Cricetulus griseus: one gene and its partners. The protein of the gene in region 5 purifies or fractionates together with the protein of the main gene of each other region. This does not show direct contact. Links are inferred from orthologs where the notes say so. Each region holds a gene or a part of one and is shown on either strand. Other genes may lie near its edges.

Region 1 (4,258 bases), on a different chromosome or scaffold from region 5:
CATCAACTTAAAGTATGGAAACTGCTGTCTGAACTTCAGTGTGCTGGGCAGGGGTATCCTCATTTGTTCTGCTTTGCTTGGAGAAAATTCAAACTGGAAGTAGCATTTTGAGGAATTAAGAGAATGACCAATCATCACAATGTATCCCAGGCAAGCTTCAAACTCAAGCCTCCTCTTGCCTCTGTCTGTGCCACCATGCCTTGGCAAAAACAAAAGTGTTGTTTTTGTTTATTTGCTTTTCTTTGTTTTTACAGACAGACTCTCATTATGTAGCCTCCAACTCAGAGGCTACCTGTTTCTGCTCCCAAATGCTGGTATTACAGATGTTTGCCACCATGCTGGATAGGGTCTTTATACAAAAGTGAGTTTGAAGAATTCGTTTATTTTCTGTCAACTTTCCTTCAGGAAATGGAAAGTAAAACCCACGGTTTTATTTTCTGGTTTTCTTAGTTTTTCGAGACAGGGTTTCTCAGCGTAGCCCTAGCTGTCCTGGAATCTCGGAGATCCTCCTGCCTCTGCCTCCCTAGTGCTGGGAAACCCAAGGTTTTCAAGGCTGGTGGAGCTGGCCGAAGTTCTGAGAGCACGGGGGAGGGGGGGCACTTACAGTCTGGACAGCAGCCATTAAACGCCATCCTGCAGATGCCACAGTTCTCATCGTTGGCTACCCAGAGCCACGTGGCCACACCATTCCAGCACTTAATCTTCACCTTCATGGCAGCAGAGCGTGCGACCTGAGGGAAGAGGGTTTCCTGGCTAAAGTTACTCTGTATTACTACCACAGACGGCACTTGAGCATTTAAGGCGGGGAGCTGCGTGCTAGGCGCCTCCAGGGAGCCAGGCTCCCAAGTTGTTTTGCTATGTTGAAGGTCGTTTTTAGAGCTGTGCACCCAGGTAGCGGGCCAGGCTGGCTCACGCCTTTAACCTCAGCGCCGCGGAGGCAGATCCGCCCAAAACCAAAGGAGGAAAACAAAAACAAAAACCACTGCATCCATGAAAAACACCTCGGTTTTCACTCACAACCCGCGCGTGACAAGCCATCAGCTTGCTAAATTTAAATAAAATTAAATTTTAAAAAACCATCCCTTCGAGCCCACAAACCCCAAATCGGATCCACAGATCGGCCCCCCGCCTCGCAGCTCAGGGACTCGGCGGGCGGACGGACCGAACTCGATCCGGCGCCTTCCGGCCTGCGCAGGGCGGATCCCAGGCCAGGCCCCGCCCACGCCTCGCCCACTCCACCTAATCTCGCGGCGCCCCGCCCTTCCGTTGCAGGAGCGCGGGAGGTATAAAAACGACCGCGCCGCGCCGGGCGCCACACACTCGCGCGGGCCGTCCTCCTGAGCGCAGCGCAGGCGCCCTCCGCTCTCCGCGCGCGCCGAGGCCAATCAGGGGCAGCTTCGGGGGCCGCGACGCCGGAAGACCAGGGGAAGCTCCGGAAGTGACCTAGCGACGTGCTGACGCGCGGGCTCGATCTGAGGCCCGATTCCGCGCCCGCCATGGCCGACAAAATGGACATGTCTTTGGACGATATTATCAAGCTGAACCGGAGCCAGCGAGGCGGCCGCGGCGGAGGCAGGGGCCGTGGCAGGGCCGGCGCCCAGGGCGGCCGCGGCGGGGCGGTGCAGGCGGCCGCGCGGGTGAACCGAGGCGGCGGGCCTCTGAGGAACCGGCCCGCCATCTCTCGCGGCGCCGCCGCCGGCGGCAGGAACCGGCCGGCTCCTTACAGCAGGGTGAGCACGGGAGGCGCGGCGCCGGCGGGGCGGGCTCCCGGCGCCCTGAGGCGGGCGGGCGGGCGTCCTGCGGGAACCGCGGGAACGGAACGGAACGGAGGGTGGGCGGGGGCGACGCCGCGCGGTGAGCGAGGCCCCGGTCACAGGCCGGGATCTTCCGGGACGCTTTGTCCGGTCCGGTCCCGCCTCGTGGCGGCGGAGCGGCGGGCGTGGGGGTCGTCTCCTCCGGGCTCTCGGGCCGCCGTGAGAGAGAGAGTGTGAGTGCCGGGGAGGGATCGGGGCGCCCGAGACGAGGTCGCTCACGAACCTCTCTTTCCCTTCAGCCGAAACAACTTCCAGACAAATGGCAGCACGATCTGTTCGACAGCGGCTTCGGGGGTGGAGCCGGCGTGGAGACCGGCGGAAAACTGTTGGTGTCAAACCTTGACTTTGGAGTGTCAGACGCAGATATTCAGGTAAGAGACCAGAGCCGTCCGCATGCTTATCCCCACACACAGAATCCCTTCTGATCAGAGCCTGTGCTCCCCCAGGCTGCCCAAGGGCCAGCCGCTGCCCTCACAAAAAGTAGTATCCCCTGGGGTTTGAATGTGACTGATAGGTCAGGCTGCTTGGAAGGCAGCCTGGTGTGCCCCCAGAGTGGCTCTTGTCTGCTAACGTCACGAGCACCTGCCGTCTGCAAGGCTTACAGTTTCTAACGGGCACAGACTGGCCACAAGTCCGGTCCCTGTGTGACCGAGGGTGCTAGCTTCTCAGGCTTTGTGCCTGTAGTAGTAAGCTTATGAGAAGGAAAACTCTCCCCACCCCCACATGTCTGAAGGCACAGGGGTGAATGGTGGCTGTGTGTCTTCCAGACTGACCTTTCCTGGGTCTTACCAGGGGCATTGTTCTCATACCTTTGGTTGAAGTCTTTTTTTCTGTCTGTCTGTCTGTCTGTCTGTCTGTCTCTCTCTCCCCCCCCCCCCATCTCTATCCTCTCTCCCTCTCTCTGTCTTTCTTCTGGCCCTCAAATGCAATTAGAGTTAACAGAGCAGGTTTTTAGGAGTTAGTTTTGGGTCATGGGTGCTGGGCCTTTCTGGGTTCCCTTTCTCAGAGCCCCGCCATTTGGCCTTGTCAGGGAGCATAGAGCAAGGCCAGTGAGCACTCACAGTGTCTCCACACTTTTTTTAAGGTGGTTTCTGGCATCCACTGGAAACCGCTTTTGGTGAACTTCACTTCCCGCTGTGTGCCTGCGGCCGAAGTAGCCCCACACTCTGGGTTCCCTCTCCAACTCCCAGCCTGCCTGAGGTCAGGGCAGTCTCCATGGCGCATTTGACTTCAGACTTTGCAGCAGGCTTGAGTAGGAGGAGAGGGAAAGGTGAGCCAGAATCTGCCTTTGGGGGAGGGGCTTGGGTCACAGCTCCCCAAATCAGTGGGCCCTTTGAGCTGTCTGCTCTATGAACAGCTTCCCTTGGTTTTTCTCTTGGCCTTTGCTATCTGATGAAACAGCCATTAGTCAGGTTGTGAGTGCCCTTGCTGAGAGAGAGGTAGTTTCTGTGTGCTTCCTTCACCTGCATCATGGTACAGTCACACACGTCCCAACGTGGACAGGAACCCAGGTGCTCAAAGTGACACCCTTCCCTCACCTCTTGATTGCCTCTGCCCCGCCCCTTTTCTGGGTGGTGGTCAGTAAAGTAGCACCCAGGAACCCTCACAGCTACTGAACTGAGCCTCTAGAGGGAAAACAGCTTAACTGCTTGGCTAACAGTTGCCCTGTCCACTTCCAGGAACTCTTCGCAGAGTTTGGAACGTTGAAGAAAGCAGCCGTGCACTACGATCGCTCTGGCCGAAGTTTAGGGACAGCAGATGTGCACTTTGAACGGAAGGCAGATGCCCTGAAGGCTATGAAACAGTACAATGGTGTCCCTTTAGATGGTGAGTATATGGGGCTGGGCCCAGGATGCCTGGGGCTTACGGAGTTTGGGGCTGGCACCTCTCCCTGTAGGAATATGGGCTGCCCCTGTGGCTGAGGACACTTTGCATTTGCCCCTTTGTCTCTCTCTTCCATTCTGCCACCTCTCATGCTGCCCCACACATCTGGACCAACCTCTTGTGAACCCCCATCCAGCAAGCTACATCCCTCCCCTCCTTCAGCTCCTTCCGGAAGATTCACTTCTGTGAAGCCTTCTCAGAACCGCCATAGTACAACCTGAGTGCGGGGCTGTAGTCGTAAAGACAAAGGTACCTGTTCTTCTTCCGTCAGGCTACCCACACCTGTCCACCCATGAGCACCCTGGACACCTGACCAAACAGCCCTCTTAGCCTGAACTGAGAAGGAGTGAGGAGGTGTTGGTGGGGTGTTATTGCCACTTTATTTTCCCACCAGGCTCTCTAGGCCTTGTACCTTGTTGGGGGCATTGGAGACACACAAAGGCCCTTTCTAGAGCTTGCATGGAGACCAGGGTGTGGTGCCTTCTGGGTCAGCTTCAGAGCCTCTGGAGTGAGACTTGTTGTATTCTTTACCATAGGCCGTCCCATGAACATTCAACTCG
Region 2 (3,500 bases), on a different chromosome or scaffold from region 5:
AGGGCACACCTGCCACTCGTCTTACTACTCTCCAAAGGGTCTGCTGGCTGACTTGATAGGCACCATATGTACTTAGAGCTAAATGACAGACACTGCTGGAGGACCATCTATTTCATTAGCAGAAGTCTTCTGAATAGCCACTCCAATCACAATGGGCCACAATAGTGACACTTCGTGTCCCCTTTACACTTTTCAACGCTCTGGCCCTAGGCAGTCTGTTTCTTGGACTCTGACTGGAGAAGAGGGGCTGACTACCAACAGGAACTATGTGTGAGAGACAATGGGCTAGAAAGCTGAATGTCTTCCTGCATAGTCCCAACTCAGGGAATTTATCTCTATTCCTGACAGACACACGTCTTTTGTTTGCTTTTTTTCTAGACAGGGTTTCTCTATGTAACAGCCCTGGCCTGGAATTAACTCCATTGGCCAAGCTGGCCTTGAACTCAGAGATCTACCTGCCTCTGCCTCCCAGAGTACTGAGATTAAAGGTGTGTGGCCACTTCCTTCAGGCTCAGATACATATTTTTAAACACAAGCATACTTGCTCGTGTCTGGGAAACATCTTTTTTCTTTTCTTTCTTTTTCTGAGACAGGGTCTAAGTAGCTAAGGCTAGGCTCAAACTTGCTATGCAGACCAGGGTGGCCTCAAACTCAAGAGACCTCCCTGGATAACAGGTGTATAACACCGCACCAGGTAGTTTTCTCAATTAAACTCAGGTACGTGGCCTCACATCAATCACAACAAGTTTCTTCTGTTGCCAAAGAGGGGCTCAGAGGGGCTGTAACTGGAAAAGAACAAGGCTGCTTAGGGTAGGGACATAGGAAGCCATGATTACCCAGGACTCTCAAAAGCCCGGGCTGAATAGGACTGATTCTGCTTTACATGAGATGTCTACCTTCCCCTGTGAGGTTGCCCCACAGACATACTGTGGGCATTGGCTGGTGCCACCCGGCACAGCTTCCTTTGTCCTTTTCTTATCCTGGGGTTCAGGCTCATAGTAACTGCTGCTCTAAATGCAAAGAAACAGAAAACTAAAAACAGGCACCCACCCCTCTCAAAGCTGCAGGCTCAGACTGTGAAGGGAAGTTGGATCCAGTGCTGCTTCAGTGGCCAGCATGGCGGGTGTGTCTGGGTTATAGACAGAGCTGTCGAGTCTAGCGTTAGGCCCGGTGCAGAGATGACTGTGAGGCACTGCGCACACCTGGCTTTGCTGTCCTAGGAGTTAGTTCCAGGAGCCCTTGGGGTGAGGCAGCAGCAGGTGGTAGGCCCAGGCTGATGGTACGAGCATTACTATGCTCAGGCTGCTGTGGCACCATCGGTACATGGGTTTCTAGTTATTCTGAGGTATTTCAAATGCATGAGGCTCATGAATAAAGAGGCGGCACACTTTATTCAGACAAAATACGTGGCTCTGAGGCACTCCCCACTGACCCCCCCAGGCTCTGCTGCCAGTGTACACCAATTCTCATGGGGGTGTGGGCAGGAGTCCCCTGTGCCACTCAGGTACTCTACCTTCCTGCTTAGCTTTCTACCCGCCTGTGGTTTTCTCTGAGAAGCACCCTGGGAATGGACAGCAGGTGGTGGCCAGCTTCTTTTGGTGTGCTCAATGAAGAACTCACTAATCTACTGCTTATCTCAAGATCTTCCAGCCCCTGAACCTGCTTCGAGCTGAGGCTGGGCAAAGGTGCATGGGAAAATGGAAACAAGACTCCCTAGGACAACTGCCCTGCCTTCTGCGTTCTGCCCATTACTGAGTGTGGCCTCCAGGCAGCCAGCATGGCCTTTCGACTCACCGAGCTCACCAGCAGCCTTGATGTCCACGTTGTCATAGCCACTGCCAATTCTCACGATCACACGAAGAGCCTTGAACTTCTCCAGGTCTTCCCTGGTGAGGGTGATAGTGTGGTACATCATGGCACCCACAGCCTCATTCAACACCTGTGGGCAGGGACATGAGTCACAGGTCAGAACCCCTGGGAACACAAGGCTCTGAGACTTTGTTAGCAGAAATTATAGGATGGAGACATGGAGTAAGTGCCTGAGGGTGGCAGAGTAGGCTAAGGACATCGGGAATTCCATACACTTTAGGCATTCCTGTGTGTGACTACTGTGCTTACTGACATCAGCTGGCCTGGAGGGGCCCAGGTAAGGTGGGGTGCAACCCACCTTTTCATGGATTTCCTGAGTAGACTGTGCATCACAGAAGGCCACAGTGGCCAGATCCTTCAGGATGGGCATTTCCACGGTACAGTCTCTGCCGTCGAGCAGTGCCACTAGGGGGCGGGGATGCAGGGGGCCGTTCATGATCTGAGGGCGGATACCTATAAGGAGAAGAAATGTGTGGTAAGTACACTGTAGGGAGGGTGTCCTCAGTGGCTGATGCCAAGGCAAGCAGAGAGCACACAAGTCTGGTGGAGCCAAGGACATGACACAGCTTTACCAGCTAACGGGGGGGGGGGGGGCGGCAGCAGGGAGTGAGGGGTAGTGATGTTCCTAGATCACTGGAGGGTAAGTGCAGAGTTCTGGTATGAACTCACTTCGCTCTAAGACCCAGAGGGGCAATTGTATAGCTCACTTGAATTGCCCCATAAAGTAAAACTCTGGTCCAGTGAGATGGCTCAATGGGTAAAGGCACTTGCCACCAAGCCGCATGGCTTCAGGGTAACTGACTCCCACAGTGCAGGAGAGAACTGACCCCTGCAAGTTGTCCTATGATTTCACATGTGAACATACACAGACCCGAGAGCTGTGTCCATCTCCCTCTGGCACCCTCTCACTGCATGCAGAGACATCCTCACACCATACTGGCAGTCAGGGCAGACAGTGAGCCCAGAGTAGAGAGAATGTCTTTGTCCTGGTCTTACGGGAACAAGCTGTGTTGAAAGGGAATCTGACTGAATGGCAGCCAGACCCTGATATTATAGCATTCCCAGCATTCACCTGCCACCTGCCTGAGTGGTCGTGCCCCAAGTTCTAAAATCCTTTCATACTGGCAATGGCAAGGTAGTGAGCAGCAGGGTACACCCCAAGTCCTCACTGGCCCATGGCTCAGGTAACTGACAGGTTGGTCCTATAAGAAAACAAAGCCTCAGCCGGGTGTTGGTAGCGCACACCTTTAATCCCAGCACTAGGGAGGCAGAGGCAGGTGGATCTCTGTGAGTTTGAGACCAGCCTGGTCTACAAGAGCTAGTTGTTCCAGGACAGCCTCCAAAGCCACAGAGAAACCCTATCTCGGAAAAAAAGAAAAGAAAAGAAAGCCTCACTATCCCCAGTAGGTCCAGGTGAGGTCCCTGGAGGTGGCTGCTGTCACAGAAGGTGAGGTGACAGTGACATCACACAGTTGTTGATGTATTCATCCTGTCAATCAGCTACAGAGCACTGCTTGCTAACCAGATGAGCAGCTGAGGTATGTGAGGTTCTGATGCCACCCTGCCTTCTTTTTACTAAGGGAGCGTGCAAAACGGCCAGAGTCTAAGAACATGGGTTGAGCGTCTGGCAG
Region 3 (3,827 bases), on a different chromosome or scaffold from region 5:
TTGTTTTGAGAATAATTATTCCAAGGATCTAAAGAAATCAATGAAATTCATTACATCTTATTTCTTTTATAACCTAAAAAGCACCATTATGACTCCAAGAACATAGTATTTAGCAGAGTTCTGTTGTTAATGAGAAATAATGTTTAACTGTAGGGAGCCGGTTCCTGCATTCTCCATTACAATAATGGTGCCTGAAGACACCAAGATGTAAATTACTTTACAGGCGCTGGGTAATCTCCATTCCTTTGATCTCTGCCTATCCCGTGGCTCATTTGGCCTGAGGAGCTGAAGCCATTCATAGGGTAACACGTCCCAGGCGGCTGCTTGCCAGCCTTTATTAAGGAAATGGGTTTCTTAGTTCAGAGTCTCCGCTCTGGTAAGCTTATGCTCTCTCCCTCTCAAGATGCATTAAAGCTTGTCTGCAGAAGGATCCGAGTGTCCTACGTGTATTTCTTGCCGGCGAGAACATACAGCGTGCGGGACATTTAACAACCAAGTACTACTTTTTCTATCATTTATTTAGGAAAGTTTTACATTATTAAGAAAAAGTAGAAGCCAATTTGGAATCTAGCCCATCATCACATCACAACTAAGGTTTTATCCTGGCCATCTGTTACCTCTAACCACAAAATTCTCCATACACCGGGGCCATAGCTTGCATATATAGTAGGCATGGCAGTCTTAACTTCATCTCCAGTAGTGCAACAACAAAAGCAAAGCCCCCTATTAAAAAACCTTCTCTAAAACTGTGTACAAATAGGTGCTGAAAATTAAGTGGCATATCAAGACAGTAATCTCTACTGTGTATGTTGATGTTAAAATGTGAAAACATACATGTACTAAAATATACAATGAGGGACAGAAAAATGTAGCAGAGCATTGCCTTTCAGACTATTTGCATCAACAACAGCAGCAACTGATGGCTCAGAGCAAGCGTACAGTTTTCCCAGTCACCGTTAAGAAGTCATCATCTGCCAATGCACGCAGGGCTTCTTCAAACATATCTTTGGTAATTGCCTAGAAACAAAACGTCACACATTGAGTCCTTCTTGTTAGACATACATATGTTAAACTACAACTGGGTCTTTTTTTTTTTTTTGGTGGTTGTAGACAATTCATTTTGCTAAATTACATTTCATATACATATTTATTTTGTGTTCCTGTGTGTGTGTGGGTTGGTGTATGAGTGGAGGTCAAAGGACAACTTGCCAAAGTCAGTTCCTTCCTTCTACAACATGGGTCCCAGGACTAGAATTTAGGTCATCAGGCTTAGCGGCAGACACATCCTTTACCCATTGAGCCATCTCACCAACCCCACTTGTACATATTTTGTTTTATGCTGTAAATCAGGGATAGCAAATATTTCTTCAAAGGACCAGGTAACCAATGTTTTCTCTAAGCTCTGCCTTCATCATGCAATGCAGACAAGGGCAAGTGAAGAAGTGTTATAAAAACAAAACAAAGCAAAACCAAGCATATTCATCACTTCAATCCACACAGTACTTTTCACTGACAATCCATCTTTAATTAATTGCAAAAGGCCATACAAATATTTCATCTCTGAAACAAATCTAAACCCGAACAAGTATGCTACAGTTTTAGTTGTGTATTTCTTGATGATGTGTTTATAGAAGAGGAAATCTTATTCTGACTTACATTACTTACACATATATAAACACTTACTGTGTCAGACTGTCCCCGAATATCCTCAAATAGTTGTTGGTACTTTAAAGCTGGTGTTTTACCCTTAGATAAAATAAGTTTCCTCAATGCTTCTGCTAATTCTTCTTTTCTTTTACGAGAAGTGGCACTCATCCCTATGTCAAAAAGAAATCAAATGAAATATTTCTGCCATATGGAAGTGAAATGTTACAGAATTCCCACAAACATTCCTTCAGAGGTATTGCCAAGAAAGGTAGGAGAACAGCTAAATGCCAGAGCACATTCAAGAATATTAGTTTTTGTTATTTCAATTATTTTACACATCAATAGTTGTCATTGAAAGCTGACATAAGCTGTGCAGCAAGGATACTCATACTTAGGAGATCAAATTCTTTTTATTTTGAGACAGGGCCTTACTATGTGCTGCCTCAGTTTGCCTAGTATTTCTGACCCCAAGTGAGCCTTCTGCATAACTGGGACTAAAAAGGGCAAATGTACATGCCTCACTCTCCCTTGAAATGGATTTTAATAGGTTACAGACAGAATACCTTTCGATTTTATGTCATTTTGTTCAAAGCGAGTAACAAACCTGTAGTAAGAATAGATATATCCACAATGCCAGTGCGAGGGTCAGTAGCAGACTGCTTTAGAGCCTCCCGGTGAAGGCGTTTTGCCTCTTCCACATCAATTGCTTCAACTTTGTCTGAAAATCTTACTTTAGCATGGGCTTCTGCTAATCGAATTAATGACTCTAACTGTCGGGGGTAAGCAGAAACCATTCCCCGGCTACTACCAATCTTCCTCATGTTCACATAGGCCTAGAGAAGATAGAAACAACAAAATTAAGCCATTGCTGACAAGAACCTCATGTTTCATGGATGACCTTGCATACTTAGGGTTCTGTTAAATAACTGATGGCCTGTCTGCCTGCAGTGTTACTCTAGGGAATTACAAATTGGAGCTAGACTGTGGGAAGTTGGTTGGAGCCTTACACACACAAACAGAAACCCAGAAACCAAGAGGATGGTTAGTTACATCCATGTATGGTGATGTCAGAAATATTTGAGAGGAAGACTTTTGGAAACATCTGTACAGGTAGACATGAAGAAGAGACATTAAAAGGTTGGTAGTATAATTTAGAAGAATGCATGCCTAGATGTTCATGGGTATAATCCCTAGTACCAAACACAGACTCACAGATTACCCCCCCCCCCAAAGGAAACAGTGCCATAGGAAAGGAATCAGAGAGTCTGTAAGGAAAGGCTTGGCAGCTGGGCGGTGGTGGTGCACGCCTTTAATCCCAGCACTTGGGAGGCAGAGGCAAGTGGATTTCTGTAAGTTCCAGGCCAGTCAGATCTGTTTCACAGAGAAACCCTGTCTCAAAAAACACCAAGGAAAAAAAAGGAAAGGACAGGACAGAACAGAAAAGGCCTGGCAAACTGCCCATGAGACCCATTTTACAAGGTTTGTAAAAGATGACTTAGGATATTATGCTCCAAAGAGGATTAATTCATTTTGCATGTAGTTTCATTTATTTCATGATACAAATGGAAAAATCATATATTATCTGTAACCTTAATTGAGCCTTTTTGAACCCAGCTAGGATATAAACTCACCAAAGTACCTACCGTATCACAATACTAAGCCCAAACAAGCCCTAGCATATCCCTGTGCATCTTGTAAAAGTTTGTGTGAATCTAAATTACCTTTGTCTTTACTTTTTTTAAAAAAACAAACAAATAAGTTAAGAGAAACAGCTAACTCATCCAGAGTTGTAAACTGTTTCTTAAGCCCGGTTACCTCAATGAGAGCCTGGCTGGCCTCCTCACTCAGTCGGGGCGTGATGGTACTATGTGCATATGCTATGTAGTCCTTCAGCACTGCCATGTCCAGGAACTCCTCCTCTACTTGCTCCTCACTTTGGTAGTACAGTGAAACCAGGTGATGAGCCAGACGCCGGTCATATGCCTCATCCTGAGGGTCCAGCATGAGGAAAATAAGATCAAACCTGACAAGACAGAGAAAAATACTGTCTTTCTAGTTGAGACACCAACATACCTATATATAGGATTTAAATGTGTTTAAACCACTAATCAACTATACTGTATACATGCCCACAGAGGGCTGCCTCGTCACCAACTGACCAATCCTCAGTCCTGCCTGGT
Region 4 (4,056 bases), on a different chromosome or scaffold from region 5:
AAGAACTATCTGTATTAGTTTTCAGAGGGGTCAGCTGAATTATCCAATTACATTGATTTCTAATCAAGGAAGGTTGCAGTAAAAATTTTTGGTTTGAATACAAAAGAGTTAATTACCTTTCTAAGGGCATTTCAATAAGAGTAACAAAAGAAAGTAATACCAGTTCAGACACGTATCATATAGGAAGAAAGACACCAAAGGCAAAAATGAATGGAAACAGCATGTATGGTAGAGCTGCTTACCAGACTGAGTAACATAATTGATTAGGGGAGTACAGATAAATAATTAGAACTCAAGTTTTCAAGATTTTTTAAAAGTAGAGATAAAACTAGATTTCTTGATTTAATGTTACTCAGGAGATATTTAATGGATGATGTAATTTCAAAACAATACAGCTTTAAAATTTTAAAACCCCAAAGCACCCTCCAATAATTTGTTAAAGAATAACCAGTTCTACCACTATCTTACTCTAACAGCACTCCTCCAAATAAATAACCAATGTAAGAATTTCTAGGTAACACATTTGATAATATAATGCTCCAAATACAAAATAAAGAACTTAGTAATGTTAAAGGGATTTCCAGGTAATCTACAGGAAGTTTTTAGTACCTTATATCAAAACTAAAATGCCCCTGAAAAGAACTGCCTGGTGTGGATTCTCACACCTCTAATCCCAGCATTTAGGAGGCAGAGGCAGGAGGATTTCTAAATTCTGGTTTACAAAGTGAGTTCTGGGGCAGTTAGGGTTAAACGCCTCTGACCCCCACCCCCCAAAGATACAAAGAATCAAGTTCTAAATGAGCACTGAAAGACAGCTTAGGAGGACAGCATACACACTGAATTTGAAAGATTTTTTTGAAAAATTATCTTTATGACCTAGAAGCTTAATTATAACTTGACTATTGATGGCCTTCAACATCCACGAATCTTTGCAGGCTATGGTGGTTCACACCTTGAATCCCAGCACTCTGGAGGCAGAGGTAGGTGGATCTCTGTGAATTTGAGGCCAGTGAGGCACAGTAAGTTCCAGGACAGCCAGCCAGGGCTACTACACAGAGAAACTCTGGCTTGAAAGGCCCAAAAAAAAAAAAAAAAAAAAAAAGAAAGAAAGAAAGAAAGAAAGAAAGAAAGAAAAGAAAAGAAAAAGTCCATGAACTTAGTTTGCTTTTACAGGATACATTTTTAGCATACTCCCATACTCTACAAAATATTCCTATACATTTGGAAAAAGTTCATTGCAGGGGATTCTTCAAGTAGGTTTAGCAAATCTAAATATAAGATTCCTACTGTGTCTCTATTTCAGGAAATTACCTAAATTTGTTTTAAAATAGTCTTTTATAGTCTTACCTTCCAATTTTGGTGCAATAGACCAAGGCCATTTGGCTCTGAAGGAGTATCCCTGAGACGGTTATTACTGACAATGGCAATTCCAGTGGTTAAGAATTTCTTCCAACAGGAAAAAGTGAACTCAGAGAACAGTCACCGTTTGGTCTGATTTCTAATATACCATTACATGCATGTGGTGTGAATGTATCTATAATTTGTAATCCCTAAGAAACTGGGACTTCCACAAGGTAATATAGGCATTAGGGAACAGGCCTAAGGGTTTATCATAAGCAATCTCTTTTACTCCATTATATTGACGGTAGTTTTACTCGGCCTCCTCAGTTTTAAGACTCCCCATTAAGAGGAGACAATTTTATATTACCTAGATGCATAAAAATAGTCCCAGTCCTCCGAGATCTGGTTCAATGAACAAGCACTACGGAGACACAGAGACAGGCATAGGCACAGGCACAGGCAGGCAGAGACACACACACACACACACACCAAAAAAACACAATTCTTTCTCCCTTGTCCCTAGTATATTGATTGATAAAAGGAACAGATATTTCCCTACAGAAGCTCTGTAAAACACCTGTACCCGTCGAGGTTAAAAAAAAAAAAAAATGGGGGGAAATAGCAGAATCAACCTGCATCCACACCTCAGCCCCGCCCCACCTGGGAAAAGTGGGGGGTGGCGGGAGTGCGGGTGGCAGAATGGACAGAAAAGGCCGAGAACTCCAGCTCCCAGGCTCTCCATACCATTGGCTCCATCACGTTCCACGGGAGCCAGGGACCCCGGCTAGATTTTTAGCCACGCTTTCCAATCCTCCTCCACCGCACCATCCATCCCAAACCCCGTCCGTGGTCCTCAACCGTTAGAGTCCTGGATGGAGAGCCCAGCGTGGACCCTCTTGCGGCGCGATCAAGGACTTGAGGCGGGGGTCTCCCCGTCAGCTGGGCGGATCCGAAGAGCGCCCGGGGACCTCTCAAGTGACCACACAAGGGGATGGTAAATCGGAGGGAGGGGTCTGAGAGGAGCCGTTATTCCTTTTCGCTGGGGCTTGGGAAAGCGCGCGAGGGAGGGGCCGACGCTGCAGCCGCGTTACCTAACGGTCCGGTGGGTCCGCCAGGCCAGAGGCGTTGGCGCGGACGGCCACAGCCGTCCGGAGGGTTGGGGTCCGCGGCAGGGGCGCCAAAGGGGTGGGAGGCGGGGGGTGGGGACTACAGGCTGAGACGTCGCCATGTTAGCGCCTTCTTCCTCTGAACCCCTACAGCCTCCGAGACTGCGGCCCTTTCACCACTACTCACCTTTCCAGGTCACTAATTCATGGTCCTTTCATCCACCCGGGAGCCCGGAGCCCAGCCGTGTTTACAAACTAGCCCCGGAGGAAAGGGCTGAATCGACTTTAAAGGCCACGGGCTCCCACAGGCTTCCGTCCTCTCTCGCGAGATCCGACTGACAAGCCTTCTCCCCGCCCCACTCCCGGCATCCCCGCCGCTTTCTTCTCGCGCCCCTCCCCTTCACGCACACGCTCCTTCCTGCTTTCTACCAAGGGAGCGCCTACGGGTCAGGTGACGCAGTCGTGCTTAAGGAAGAGGGCGGGCCTTCGGGAGGGCGGGGACGGGGAGGCGGGAACCAAAGAGCACTCGGACGCTAGTGATTGGACGAAGAGCACGAAAGGCGGGAAGCAGTTCCAAGGGGCGTGACCAAAAGCCAAGGACCGTTGTTTCGGTAACCAGGGAACTGCGGAAAGCTGTGATTGGCAACCAGAGGGAGGTGGGCGCGGGATCTCGGGCGCGCGCGCAGGTGATGGTGGAGGGAGAGGCTAGGGCGTGGGCGGTATCAGAGAAGGAAGGTGAGGTCTGGAGAGGCTAAAGGAACTCAGCCCGGAGCTCCGACGACTCCGATGTGTCGGTTTCCGGCCTCACTAGGGATGTGGGAACGCGAAGAGAGACGAGCTCCTGGACCACCCTCCGGCTACCCGGAAGCTGGAGCTGGGGAACTGCGCTTGGTTTGGGAGACTCGGGGGTTTGCTAGTCATCACCCCCGCCCCAGTGTGTGGTCAGAAGCAAACTATGTCAGCCCTGTCTAGGAGAGGCATTTTCTCAGAGAGGTCTTTGTTCAGAATTTACTAAGCTCGAAATGGAGCTGATTCTTCGCCCCCACCCCGCATCAAGCCCATTGTACATTATGAGTATGTTGAAAGGAAATACGTCTTCCACCATGTCACCATATTTTAAGACAATGGAGAAATATTTTTAGAAATTATGGTGTGTTCTCTTTCATTACATTTCCTTTACTTCGTTACAGGTAAAAATACTAATTTCAGCAGGATGGCTTCAGTATTTTGAAGCTTAAGAAATCGTTATTAACGTTTTAAAGAGGACTAAAAGATACCAATGAGAACACAGCATAGAAGTGGCACTTTTCCCACAATATTTTTCTTTAGATTTGTAAATTGAAGTGCCAAAGAAATGCCAGTTAATGTTTGGAAATAGCTTTTAAAGAACTGAGGGTAAGAACCTCCAGAGATGGTGCAGTGGTTAGGAGCTCTTGCAGCAAGAACTCAGGCTCGGATGCCCCTCATCCACATGGCTGCTCAAAAACACGGGGATCCAGCAACCTCTTCTGACCTAGGTGAACATGTGATGCACATGTGTTCAAGCTACCAAACACTCATACACATAAAGTATTAAGTCCTTAAACTGGAGACAAGAAAAAAGATTATT
Region 5 (3,500 bases):
CAATCACCAAAGGCAGGGCTCTATTAATGACACCAATATTTAACAATTTAGAATTGAGACCTGATCTACCCCACCCCTCTCTCCTTGGGTTTTTCAAGACAGGGTTTCTCTGTAGAGCTTTGGAGCCTAGCACTCGCTCTGTAGACCAGGCTCGAACTCACAGAGATCCACATGTGCCTCCGGGAGTGCTGGGACTAAAGGTTCTAGCCACCACCACCTGACCATAATTTTTATTTTTATTTTTTTAAAAGATTTTATTTAACAACATTATGCTTCCATGTATATCTGCACACCAGAAGAGGGCACCAGATCTCATAGAGGATGGCACCATGTGGTTGCTGGGAATTGAACTCAGGACCTTTGGAAAAGCAGTCGGTGCTCTTAACCTTTGAGCCATCTCTCCAGCCCCTAACCAAAATTTTTAAGTTACATTTTTATTTATCTTTTGTGCATTTGTGTACAAATGCCCATATGCCAAGGCATTTTATGGAGGACAAAGGACAATTTATAGGACTTATCACTTATCTTTCCAGCACGGCTGGTGTATGTGTATACGTGTATGTGTGTGCACATACATGCATGAGCCTGTGTTTGTAAACCAAGGATCAACCTTGGGTGGGTATTTTTGTTCAGAGGTCAATGACCTTTTTTTAAAAAAAAAAACAAAAAAAACCCAAAAAAACCAAAACAAAACATTTTTTGATACTTCATCTTATGTGTTAGTATGATGTGTTAGTATTATTACCTAAAATTATGTAAAATGTGTGTGTGTGCTGGAGCCTGAGGAAGATTGAAGAGTGTGTTTGGTCCCTGGAACTAGAGTTACAGGTGGTTATAAGCTGCCATATGGCTGCTGGTCAGTGAATTTGGATCCTCTATAAGAACAGTTTTAAATACTGTTTTGTTTATAATTTTTTTTATTTCTTGTGCATTGGTGTTTGGTCTCCATGTATGTCTGTGTGATGGTGTCGTATACTATGGCAGCTGTCAGCTGCCATGTGGGTGCGTGAAATTAAACCTGAGTCATCTCTTCAGTCTCGGTTCAGCACTCTTGACCCTCTCCACTCTCTGTTATCCTCTGCTAGAACCCTATGTCCTTCCAAGATCTCAACTTACTAGGCAGCAAGCTCCAGTGATCCCCCTGCCTCTAACTTTTCCAGTGGTTGGATTATAGGTGTGCCAAAATGCCCAAGGTCTCACTGTCTACCTCAGCCTTGTCTGGAATTTGCTATGTAGTACACAAGGCTGTCCTTGAATTCAGAGATTCATTTCCCTCTGCCTTCTAAGCATTGGGATATATATACAAGTGCTAGGAAACAAATCCAGATGTTTATTGTTTATGGGGCAAGCATTTTACCAAATGAATGATCTTCCCAGCCTTCACTTACTCTTCTTCTTTGACTGTCCAGGAGCTGGGGAGGACTGCGTAGCAGAGGTACTTGGCTGGTCTTCCTCCTCTTTTGTTTCAGGTTTTAACTCAGTGCCTCTGTCCTCTGTTTCTGTAGGTTCCACTTTAACATCTTCAGCTTTAGCCTAAAATATAAGACAGGAATTTTAAAAAATTCAAAGACTTACACCTGGGAACAAGACCATTATCACCTTATTTACGCTCCATTATGGACATACATGAATTTCCTTTTATAGCAGAACCTAATTGCTCTAGTCTCACCTCCTGAGTATCTTCAGGTTGAGCATCTGCTAGTTCAGGTTGATCCACCTCCATTTTAACCTCCATTTTTACTTCCTGTGAAGGTTGCTTCTCGGGAATGGTCTGAGAATTCACTTCTGTGCTACTAGTAGATGGAGGGTTTGATACCTGGCCTTCAATGCTTACAGTTGGCTGAGAAAGCTGGAGAGAAAAAGGTAAAGCATACACATACACAAAAGCTTGCCAATCATGGAATCAGAATTTAAATTTAAATTACACAAGGCTATTTATATTTGGGGCACTCTCACTGAACCCATTTTATTATTATGTTTTCTCTCACAAAGATCATTTTAAGAATGGATGATATGGGACTTCCCAATGCTAGCTGGCTAGCTTTACTTGAAACAGTTACCAGCTTTTTTGTTATGTGTTTAGGGGTGGATGTTCTAAAGTTGACTATATCAGAGAGGCTCAGAATATTAAAAAAATGACATCAGGGACTATGTAATAGCTCATTCATAAAGGCACCTGCTATCAAGTCTGACAACCGAGTTTGATCCCTGGTATTTAAATGGCAGAAGAGAACTAACTCCTATAGTTTGTTCTCTCTCTCTCTCTCTCTCTCTCTCTCTCTCTCTCTCTCTCTCTCTCTCTCGTGTGTGTGTGTGTGTGTGTGTGTGTGTGTGTGTGTGTGTGTGTAAAATCGATGTACCCCACATAGGTCTTTACTTTCATTTTTCAGCACTGCAACTTAAGCTGTTTCACCCCTGCCCCCCTTCTTTCCTTGCTTTGTTTTTTGAGACAGGGTTTCTTTGTGTAATAACTCTGGCTGCCATGGAACTTGCTTTCTAGACCATGCTGGCCCCAAACTCAGAGATCTCACTGCCTCTGCCTCAAAATATCTTTAAACAAGTACATGTGTATGTGTTACACTAAGCATTGATAAAACTCTTATAGCTTTCAGGCCTCAGATAATCATTTGAAACAGAATGGTCAGTGAAAATTAACCAAAATCTTCTAGCTTTCTCTACCAAAGGAAGCAAAAACAGGCAACAAACACCCAAGTCTATGAATAAAACAAGCAAAGATGAAACAAAAGTGAAAGAAAAAATGGTATAGAAACATCACTGGAGCTTAACTGGTCCTATGGACACTCCAAGACACATCTGCTTACGTACTGGAGTTGAAGGCTGAGGTGGCAACAGTGGTGCTGTTGGGGTAGGAACAGGAGCTGCAGTGCTCTGCTGTGATCGAGGCTGTTGCTGGGACTGGTCAGCAGGAGCAGCAGGAATTGAAGGTTGTACTTGGGAAGGAAGATGTGTTGGTGGTGTTGGTGTCTGTCTAGATGGGGGGTGTAGAGCTTGGGGCTGTGGTCCAGGTGGTATGGCAGGAGGTGTAGGAACAGGAGCTGGAATTGCTGTTGCTGGTGGTTGCTGAGTCCCTATGCTTGGGGGAGTATGATGAGGAGTAGGGGTACGACTAGGAACAGGAGAAGGCGAATTCTGATGAGCTTGTTGAGGCAGAGTGGAACAGTGAATATGGCTCCCTTGAGACCCTGGAGGCATTATAGGAGAGTTCACTGGACAGGAAGAACTGGACATTTGTGCCTGGTAAAATGAAAAAACATACAGTATTAACAAAAGCAGGTCATGTAGTATTTAGAGCACACAGTAGTTATTAATAAATAACAGTAGCAAACTTCTTTATTTCTGAGATGAGGGTCTCACTACATAGACCTGGCTAGCCTTGATCTAACAGATATCCATCCACCTGTCTCTGTCTCCAGGAACAAAATTAAGTGTGCAGCCCTGGACACAATCATAGTTTTCAAAGAAAAAAGGAGGGTACCTTT
Region 6 (3,500 bases), on a different chromosome or scaffold from region 5:
AGAGATGACTAACTCATCTAGGGTAAAAGTGAAAAGGAGCAGAAGGGAAGGTTAGAGGTGAGCAGCTTCCTCTCCAAGAGCCGCCCTCACCTTGGCTTTGACTGCAGCGGCGGCCAGGGCAGCCGCAGCAGCTGTGGAGAGGTTGCCCTCACCAATGTCTCGCTCCACCTTCGTTTTCCTTTCGCCTTCTGACTCCACCACTTCCTTCACGACTTCCTCCTGGCCTTCTTTTGGCTCCTTGTCTTTCTCAGGATCAACTGTGCCAGGACAGAGGTAGAATTAGCCTTATTTTAACGGCAGGCACACCCCCTTGTCATGTGTGCACGCGCCATGCTGAGCAGCTACCTATTGGGTCCGCATCGCTCTTCTCGGACTCCTTCTCGCTGTCCCCTTCTTTCCCTTTCTCCTCATCCTTCTTGGGAGCCTCACTGGCTTCCTCCTTTGCTTCTTCCTCTGCAGCCCCCGCTCCTTCCCGTGGTTCCTGCAGCTCCAGAAGAAAGGAAGACATCAGAGGATGCTGTTCTCACAGGGGCCCAGGCTAGTGACTGACTCAACCTCTTTATCTCTGTGCGTGCATGCACAGTATGTGCTGCACACACATGTATGGGTGTGTACATGCCAAGGCCAGAGCAGGACACTGAGTATCTTACTGCCTTAAGCCAGGTCCACCCTCCATTGGGGTCCTACAACGGGGTTACAGGCGTGTAAAACAATGCCAAACTTTTTACATAGGTGTTAGGGACTCTAATTCACATTTGTAGAACAAGCACTCTCACCCACTGAACGATCTGCTCAGCCCCACCGTGACCCCTGACTTCAAGAGACTACCCTTCCCCTGGATCCCTGATCACCACGGACAGCTTCTTCCAGACCCAGGCCACTCACTCCGTACCTTAGGCTCCTTCTTCTCATCTGATGTCTGGCCCTCTGCCCGTGCCTCATCAGTACTGCTTTCCTCTGGACCCATGGAGAAAGGAAAGAAAAGAAAAAAAAGTCTGAGAAGTCCCATCTATGTGACAATTTTCCAGTAGCTGAAACCTCAGGGACAAGACCAGTAGAAGGAAGCCCGATTCCCTATGGTGACATCATGAAGGAAAACATAACTCCATGGATTTTCTCTCCCACTTGTGCTGTGGTGGAGCCAGGCCAGGATGGGCATGGCACAGAGAGGCCAGCTGGCTCTAGATCTGGCTCTTGGTGAATGGGAAGAAATCTAAAGCTCCTGCTCACCAATGCGCTCAGGCTCATCAGCAGTGGTTCCCGCAATGCCGCTGCTTTCCAGACCAAAGGCAGGGTCTGCTTTGCCTGTGACCTTGGCTGCTTCTTCCACTTTCCGCACATGGGCTTCCACCAGGGCTGTGGGCACCTCTTCCTTCATTCTGGAGAACTCTTCTGTAAGACCCAGAGGGGGAGAGGCTGGGACAGTTCTGGTCACCCCTGTGCAAGCTTTCTCATGAGCCCGGCTTCCTCTAAGAGCAACACGGAGTTAGACAGGTGCCTGACCTAAGGCAGCAACAGACAAGGCCAGCAGGGCAGCCAGACTTGAGGTTTCACTGTGAGCATCTAACCTTGTAAAAGTAAACTAAGAAGGCCAGCCCCCCTCCCCCAGATTACCTAGGGCTGACTTGGCAGCAGCAGAGGCAACTCGGGGATCGACGACAGAGGCCAGGAAGGCAACAGTGCTCATAACAGGGTTTCCCGACTGACTGAAGGGGATGGGCTGGTAGGCCAGAGGGCCTAGGGAGGCCTCTGAGTCCTCCAGGTATGGGTCTTCAATGGGAAGGCGAAGAAAATGCAAGATGCACTCATCCTGCGTGCGGCTTCCCACATGTTCAGACACTTTGTTCCAGTCATCCTTGTACATTTCCAGAGCCTGGTGGGAGTGGTGGAGACACAACTCCGCTTACTTCGCCACTTCCTTGAAGGTCAGCTCCCCCCATCCCACTAAAGGCATCTGGCTTCAAAGTCCTTGGTGTTCTGGGATTTCTGCATTCTGCTGGACCCAAGGGGGATCTCCAAGTAGCACACGAAGAAAGGATTTGGTATGACAGGAATGACAGACACCAGGCTGCATGAGCACTCCCCACGCACAGGCTGGCATCCCAGCCGCTTCTGTCCTCAGCAGAGACAGCACTCCGTGCTTTACCCAGTTACCTCTAGGAGCAGCAGCGTCTCCTGCTCTGTCCACTCCCGAGTGGCGCTGGCTGCAGCTTTGCTCTGCAGGGAAACAGAGGCGCCTCAGGATAGAGGAACCAAGCTATGTAGGGTGAAGGCTGTCAGGCCCAGGCTGGCTGCACCTCATACCTTGGAGGGGACACTCTTCTTTGTGTACATGTCTGTGCGCAGTCCAAAGTTTTGCATGTCTGTTGGTTTCTCTTTGCCTTTGTCAGGAAAGTTGAGCATTTGTTGGGAAGCAGAGCTCTGCTATTTGTGGAAGGAGGAAAAAAAAGAAGTAAATATAAGTGGCCACAGGGGCCAGAAGCAGAGAGAGAGAGAGAGAGAGAGAGAGAGAGAGAGAGAGAGAGAGAGAGAGAGAGAGAGAGAAAGGGATGCCTGGCTGGGCGGGACTTCCTCCCTTACTGCTGCAGCTCCTCTGCTCTCTTCTTTCCAGGCAGGGGTCCCCCAGTGAAGGGGCAAATAAACAGCCCAGGGGGGTCTGCACCCCACCTACCAGCTCTGGCTTGCCCTTAGCCGTCTCTGGCGCCAGGTCATCCAGCTCTTTGCCCTTCCGCCCAGCCTTGGTATCAGCATCAACCTGGCGGCCCTGGGGGACAGAGCTTGGCGTCATGGAAGCTGGGCAGGAAATGGCCAGGCCAAGGCCTTGGAGGCCTAAAGATCAAATGCTGGGCGGCCCAAAAGCTCTGGGGACACTCATGCCACTGTCCCATGCTGCCTCCATGATTAATTAGACATGTAGCTGGCATGACAGACATTTGTAGTCACATGCATCGTCACAGACTCTAAGGAGCTGGACAGTAGATCCTAATCCTAGATTCAGTTGGTATCTTTGTGTTATCCACACAATGTTTTCTTCTCTTTTTAAATAATGTATGAAATGGAAATGGGAAAAAATGAAGGTGATAATACTTATGAGGCAAAAAAATATGGGAAACATGGCAAAGCATAAAAACTTCATCTGAGTTATCACAAGTGACTTCTCTATCTGCTCTGTCTCCTACATTAGCCTGTCTGTTCCCTGGGATGAGGGGCAACTTCTCTCACTCACTCAACAAGTGCTTACAGCTTAGGTATTGGGACTAAAAGAAGGTGCTAAACACATGTGCTGATTCCTGTGGCCCCCTTCCAAGTCATGCTCAAAGAAGAAACCCTACCACACTCCTCAATCGTTACTCTAAAAAATATAAAAATAAAAAAGTAAACAGAAAAAGAAAAGTCCAAAGAAGCCCTGTCTTATCCACACACCCTTGTCCCCAGCACCCCTCACCCTACCTGTGGGGTCTTGGGCTGAAGAGGCACCAGCCCTGATGGTGTGTCCGCCA
Region 7 (4,048 bases), on a different chromosome or scaffold from region 5:
CTTTTAGGTTTTTAACCCTCAACATAAAAACATTTGTTCTAATCCAGTTTGTCATTTGACTCATTTTGACACCTGTTTCTGGTGTTCAATTTTTACCATGAACTCACCTCCGAAAGGTCTGGATTTCCTCAGATTCTTTGTGATCTATGTTGTGAAAATTCCTCCAGTTTTTCATGTTTTTAAATTGTTTTTTAAACCAGAAGCCCAAAGATGTTAATCAGCCCATATTTTTTTATTTTTATGTTAAATCATTTTAAGATTTCCTAAAGGCTAAATGAGTACCTAAAAGGAAGTAAGAGGTTCCAGGTTACAAATTCTAAGATTCTACTGTGTCTGAACTTCCTTGTCGGCTTACAATAGGATTTTTTTCCTCTGTTTATTTCTTCACTGAAGGACACAGTCCTTCAAATTTATAATCTGTAAGCCCAAGATTTATAAGGGTTTCAGTTTCCATTATCTGGCTAACAGTTTAAGGTTTCATCACCCATCCTTAGATAATAAAACCACTCTACACAAGACCTATACTTTCTGCAAGGTAATAGCCAAAAAAGATCTATGCATATCATACTGGCTTCTACTTCATTTTTACCATAAGCTTTCCCAAATGTTTGCCTATTTTTTTTTTGAGGTGAACGCAGAAGATACCTTGATCTGTCCTAAATGAGAAATAGCTTGACTTTATTTTATATGTAACTAATATTTTACTCGTGATTTTAATTCAAAAGCTCTGATAATTCACTTTTGCAAATAATTCTTTAATGTCAGACTGACAATAATTTTGACTTATTGACAAAATCCTATGTATGTATCTCTTTCCTCTGATGCAGGGGATCAAATCCTTAAGTTTTGTGCATGCTAAGCATTAATTCCAGCCCAAATGCTTATATTTTAATATGTCTGTATGTCTGACATGGCAAGTAGATTCAATTAAATTTCTAACTGTTTAAAGAATGTAACTTATTAATGATACTAGTTGCTTGGGAAGGAATTTATTCTGTTAAGTTTATTAATTTAAACATGCATTAAAAAACAAGTCAAAAGCATTACTTTTATACAAAAGTCAACGTAATTTATACACACATCGAAAAACATGTTACACTGTATATAACACTAAAAAGAACTTGAAAGATTTTAACTTATGCCTCTAAATTTAAATTTTCCATTGAAACTACAGTCCTATAAAAATGTCATTGTCTTATAGGAACAACTACATTAAAAAAACGAACAATTTGGGCAAGGTGCAGCAAGCCCGTAATCCCACTCAAGAGGCTACTTAAAGATGATGATTCAAACCCTGTCCAAATAATCCCACGAGTTTTTACTGAGCACAGCTTGCAATATATTTTGGTAATTTCTACATGAGGGTAGAATTTTAATTTTTTAAAGTCATGGTTAACCTACATATACCCTAAGGAAGCATTTGTACATATTCTTCTCACACACACACACACACACACACACACACACACACACACACACACACACACACTCTTGGTGGACTGGGGATACTTTTTTAAAAGGTTTGCCTATTAATAAAGGTGTAAAACTGGCGGGTATAGTAGTTCACACCTTTAATCCCAGCACTTGGGAGGCAGAGGCAGGCGGATCTGTGAGTTCAAAGCCAGCCTGGGTTACACATCGAGCTCCAGTTCAGCCAAGGATACATAATGAGACACTGTAAAACTTTGTACCAAAAGGCGTTTCCCTCGGAAGGAGAGTACAAACTACGCTGGCTTCTAAAATCAAGGGCATATCTGGGTCTGTCTTTGCCACCTGTAAATGTAGTCCAAAAATAAAGGACCTGCGTGATCAACTGGAACTGTTAGAATCAAGAGGACTTTTTCTAGTTTAACAGGCTCCAAACTTGCTGTTGTGGAGAGATAGATAAATGCCTCTATCAATATCACTTTGAGGAAGGCGCTGTCTTTCCTTTGGTCTCTCTGTTTAAGGAAAATGTCACGAAGACCTAAAAGTGCTCATTAGTCACTGTCAAGGCTCACTTTTAAGTTCAGGAGATTAACAAGCACAGGAGGGAGTACAAAGGTGAAGCCGAATACACAAACACCCCCAACCCCAATCAATCCCGGCGGTTTACAGCAGAGAAAATGACCTGTAAGTGCGATTACGCGTAAGGCAACGTGGGGCTCCCAGAGCTCAAGACCCCCACCTGATGAATAGGTAAGTCAGGAAGGCCCAGCTCCACTTCTCGGATGGGGGAACTGAGGAACGAGGCGGCGAGACGACCGGCAAGAGGCCTCGCTGAGAGATCTGAGGCGGAGCGGAGGACCAGAAGCCCCAGTCCTCAGGCTGATGCTCAGATCTCGGCTCCCCCCGCCCCTACGATGGTGTAGACGGGCCTCCGCCCCCCAACTCACACACCCCCTCCCCCGAGAGCTGCACATCTCCTCGGGTTCCAAGGGCAGGGTCAAAAGACAGGGCTCCAGAGCGCTCCCGCCGTGATTTGTAGCCAGAGAGCGTTGGGAGCGTGCGTGCCTCCAGTCCAACATGGCGGCGACGCGGCCGCCCCCCCCCCACCCGAGCCTCCCTCAGGCCGGAGGCTTTCCCTCGCCGCCCTCCGGTGCGCGGGAAGACGGCCCGAACACGCCGGACCCCTTCTCGCCGCTGCCGCTGCTCGCTGGAGGAGTCACCTACCCGACATGACTAACAGCCGCGGCGCGGAGCCCCCACGGCCCGCGGAGAACAAGGAAAACGAAAAGCCAGGCGGCGCGGCTGCCGGAGCAGTTCTGAGGGCGGCGCGGCAGGCTGAGACCGACTGCGGGACCTCGGCAGCCAATCAGCTCACGGCGGACGATACCACCGTGCCAAAGCCGGAGGGGTGGTTCTACTCCTCTCCAGTCCGCCGACTGCGGAGTCCCTCCCCGTTCCCCCCTCCGCGACGGTACCATTATTGAGAGGGAATTGAGAAAGGAAAGTACCAATGCCCTCGAGGGACTAGGGGAGGAAGCCGGGCCGGCTCGCTCCGCCCCATTTACAACCCCAGTTCTAATTTTATTGGGTCAGGTAGAATTTGAAGCTATAAAAGCGAGAGAGGAGGCTCCCCTTTCATAAGTAGGAACCATTGGCCTGGAAAACTAGTTTCTTCCTTTAAAATAGAGAATGGTGTGGCCGGCTTCGCTCCGGCTCTTGCTGCTGAGCTTGAACCACTTGGGGGCGTTCCGAGCCTGAGGAGCGCGCGGGACGAAAGTCGTGACGAGCTCGGTACCCGATCACCTCCAGGCTTGCTAAAACTGCCTTGTCCAGTAAAAATCAAGGTGAGACGAGGACAAAAATGTGAGTTCAGTCTAAATCACGCGCAAACCTGACTCCGGGAATAAGGTTGTGCAGGAGTCGAGCTTTCTCAACCCTAATAATAACCAGCTAATTGTCGGCATCTTACATCATTCCCACTACAGACTGATGAAATATTTCCCCCTGGTTGCGGATAAAGTCGTGTGGCTAATAAAGGGGTAAGGTGGAATTTGGAAGTCTAGTAACCCACCCTCAGTTGAGGGTGGGTTACCGTAAAGCTGTACAGTAAACTCACTTAGAGAAAGGGCTTGGAAAACTTAAAATAGAATCAGCGAGGACATTTTCCCGCAGTGAGTGACACCTGAACCAAAGCCTGCGTGATGAGTTAAGTTGAAGAAGGGGGCAAAAGATCTGTCCAAGCTACTTGTAGAACAAGTAACTTGATACGTTGGGAGCATAGCCTCCGGGGGAGAATACTAGAACATGCCAGAAAGGTAGGAGGCTAAATAGCTGAGGTCTTGTAGTTTGAACTTTATCCTGAAGGCGGTGGATCCACCCACAAAAGAACTTCAGAAGGGTGAGATCAGATAGGTATTTTCCAGCTGCAGAATGAAGAACAGGTTGGAGAGGAGAGATGCCTATTGTTTGTTGGGAGGGGAGAAGGGGGAGCTGAGAATATTGCTCAGTGATTAAATCCTGGCCTAGCATGCTTAAGTTGCTGGGTTCAATTCCTAGCACAGGTAATTTTTTTTTCAGCCAATCAAGCTGGCACACACCTATTAATCCCAGCACTCATGGG

The links.
Region 1: the proteins of Ep300 (region 5) and Alyref purify together in Homo sapiens (affinity purification with mass spectrometry, with the first as the bait; 3 studies listed by BioGRID). This does not show direct contact. The link is inferred for Cricetulus griseus from reciprocal best matches to the Homo sapiens genes EP300 and ALYREF.
Region 2: the proteins of Ep300 (region 5) and Ctbp2 purify together in Homo sapiens (affinity purification with mass spectrometry; 5 studies listed by BioGRID and IntAct, with this or other methods). This does not show direct contact. The link is inferred for Cricetulus griseus from reciprocal best matches to the Homo sapiens genes EP300 and CTBP2.
Region 3: the proteins of Ep300 (region 5) and Mcm4 purify together in Homo sapiens (affinity purification with mass spectrometry; 3 studies listed by BioGRID and IntAct, with this or other methods). This does not show direct contact. The link is inferred for Cricetulus griseus from reciprocal best matches to the Homo sapiens genes EP300 and MCM4.
Region 4: the proteins of Ep300 (region 5) and Atf2 purify together in Homo sapiens (affinity purification with mass spectrometry; 3 studies listed by BioGRID and IntAct, with this or other methods). This does not show direct contact. The link is inferred for Cricetulus griseus from reciprocal best matches to the Homo sapiens genes EP300 and ATF2.
Region 6: the proteins of Ep300 (region 5) and Smarcc2 purify together in Homo sapiens (affinity purification with mass spectrometry; 3 studies listed by BioGRID, with this or other methods). This does not show direct contact. The link is inferred for Cricetulus griseus from reciprocal best matches to the Homo sapiens genes EP300 and SMARCC2.
Region 7: the proteins of Ep300 (region 5) and Taf15 purify together in Homo sapiens (affinity purification with mass spectrometry; 3 studies listed by BioGRID and IntAct, with this or other methods). This does not show direct contact. The link is inferred for Cricetulus griseus from reciprocal best matches to the Homo sapiens genes EP300 and TAF15.

The regions. Positions count from the first base shown.
Region 1 is NC_048600.1:133,091,013-133,095,270, reverse strand, and holds the start of Alyref (THO complex subunit 4), read left to right. Parts: upstream 1-1,458; 5' UTR 1,459-1,496; coding exon 1,497-1,730; intron 1,731-2,053; coding exon 2,054-2,185; intron 2,186-3,493; coding exon 3,494-3,641; intron 3,642-4,234; coding exon 4,235-4,258. Other genes in the region: Anapc11 (anaphase-promoting complex subunit 11), read right to left, coding at 605-713. UniProt on the Homo sapiens protein: Functions as an mRNA export adapter; component of the transcription/export (TREX) complex which is thought to couple mRNA transcription, processing and nuclear export, and specifically associates with spliced mRNA and not with unspliced pre-mRNA.
Region 2 is NC_048596.1:67,839,129-67,842,628, reverse strand, and holds part of Ctbp2 (C-terminal-binding protein 2), read right to left. Parts: intron 2,323-3,500; coding exon 2,168-2,322; intron 1,940-2,167; coding exon 1,795-1,939; intron 1-1,794. UniProt on the Homo sapiens protein: Corepressor targeting diverse transcription regulators. Functions in brown adipose tissue (BAT) differentiation. Isoform 2 probably acts as a scaffold for specialized synapses.
Region 3 is NC_048597.1:73,869,819-73,873,645, reverse strand, and holds the end of Mcm4 (DNA replication licensing factor MCM4), read right to left. Parts: intron 3,671-3,827; coding exon 3,463-3,670; intron 2,481-3,462; coding exon 2,252-2,480; intron 1,818-2,251; coding exon 1,684-1,817; intron 1,018-1,683; coding exon 925-1,017; 3' UTR 501-924; downstream 1-500. UniProt on the Homo sapiens protein: Acts as a component of the MCM2-7 complex (MCM complex) which is the replicative helicase essential for 'once per cell cycle' DNA replication initiation and elongation in eukaryotic cells.
Region 4 is NC_048599.1:101,241,183-101,245,238, reverse strand, and holds the start of Atf2 (cyclic AMP-dependent transcription factor ATF-2), read right to left. Parts: upstream 2,801-4,056; 5' UTR 2,635-2,800; intron 1-2,634. UniProt on the Homo sapiens protein: Transcriptional activator which regulates the transcription of various genes, including those involved in anti-apoptosis, cell growth, and DNA damage response.
Region 5 is NC_048595.1:378,772,865-378,776,364, reverse strand, and holds part of Ep300 (histone acetyltransferase p300), read right to left. Parts: intron 3,256-3,500; coding exon 2,827-3,255; intron 1,850-2,826; coding exon 1,670-1,849; intron 1,534-1,669; coding exon 1,389-1,533; intron 1-1,388. UniProt on the Homo sapiens protein: Functions as a histone acetyltransferase and regulates transcription via chromatin remodeling. Acetylates all four core histones in nucleosomes. Histone acetylation gives an epigenetic tag for transcriptional activation.
Region 6 is NW_023276806.1:129,411,630-129,415,129, forward strand, and holds part of Smarcc2 (SWI/SNF complex subunit SMARCC2), read right to left. Parts: coding exon 3,451-3,500; intron 2,765-3,450; coding exon 2,672-2,764; intron 2,425-2,671; coding exon 2,305-2,424; intron 2,218-2,304; coding exon 2,155-2,217; intron 1,874-2,154; coding exon 1,615-1,873; intron 1,393-1,614; coding exon 1,231-1,392; intron 958-1,230; coding exon 893-957; intron 488-892; coding exon 346-487; intron 258-345; coding exon 91-257; intron 1-90. UniProt on the Homo sapiens protein: Involved in transcriptional activation and repression of select genes by chromatin remodeling (alteration of DNA-nucleosome topology).
Region 7 is NC_048600.1:96,720,414-96,724,461, reverse strand, and holds the start of Taf15 (TATA-binding protein-associated factor 2N), read right to left. Parts: upstream 2,801-4,048; 5' UTR 2,660-2,800; coding exon 2,653-2,659; intron 1-2,652. UniProt on the Homo sapiens protein: RNA and ssDNA-binding protein that may play specific roles during transcription initiation at distinct promoters. Binds to ssRNA containing the consensus sequence 5'-AGGUAA-3'. Can enter the preinitiation complex together with the RNA polymerase II (Pol II).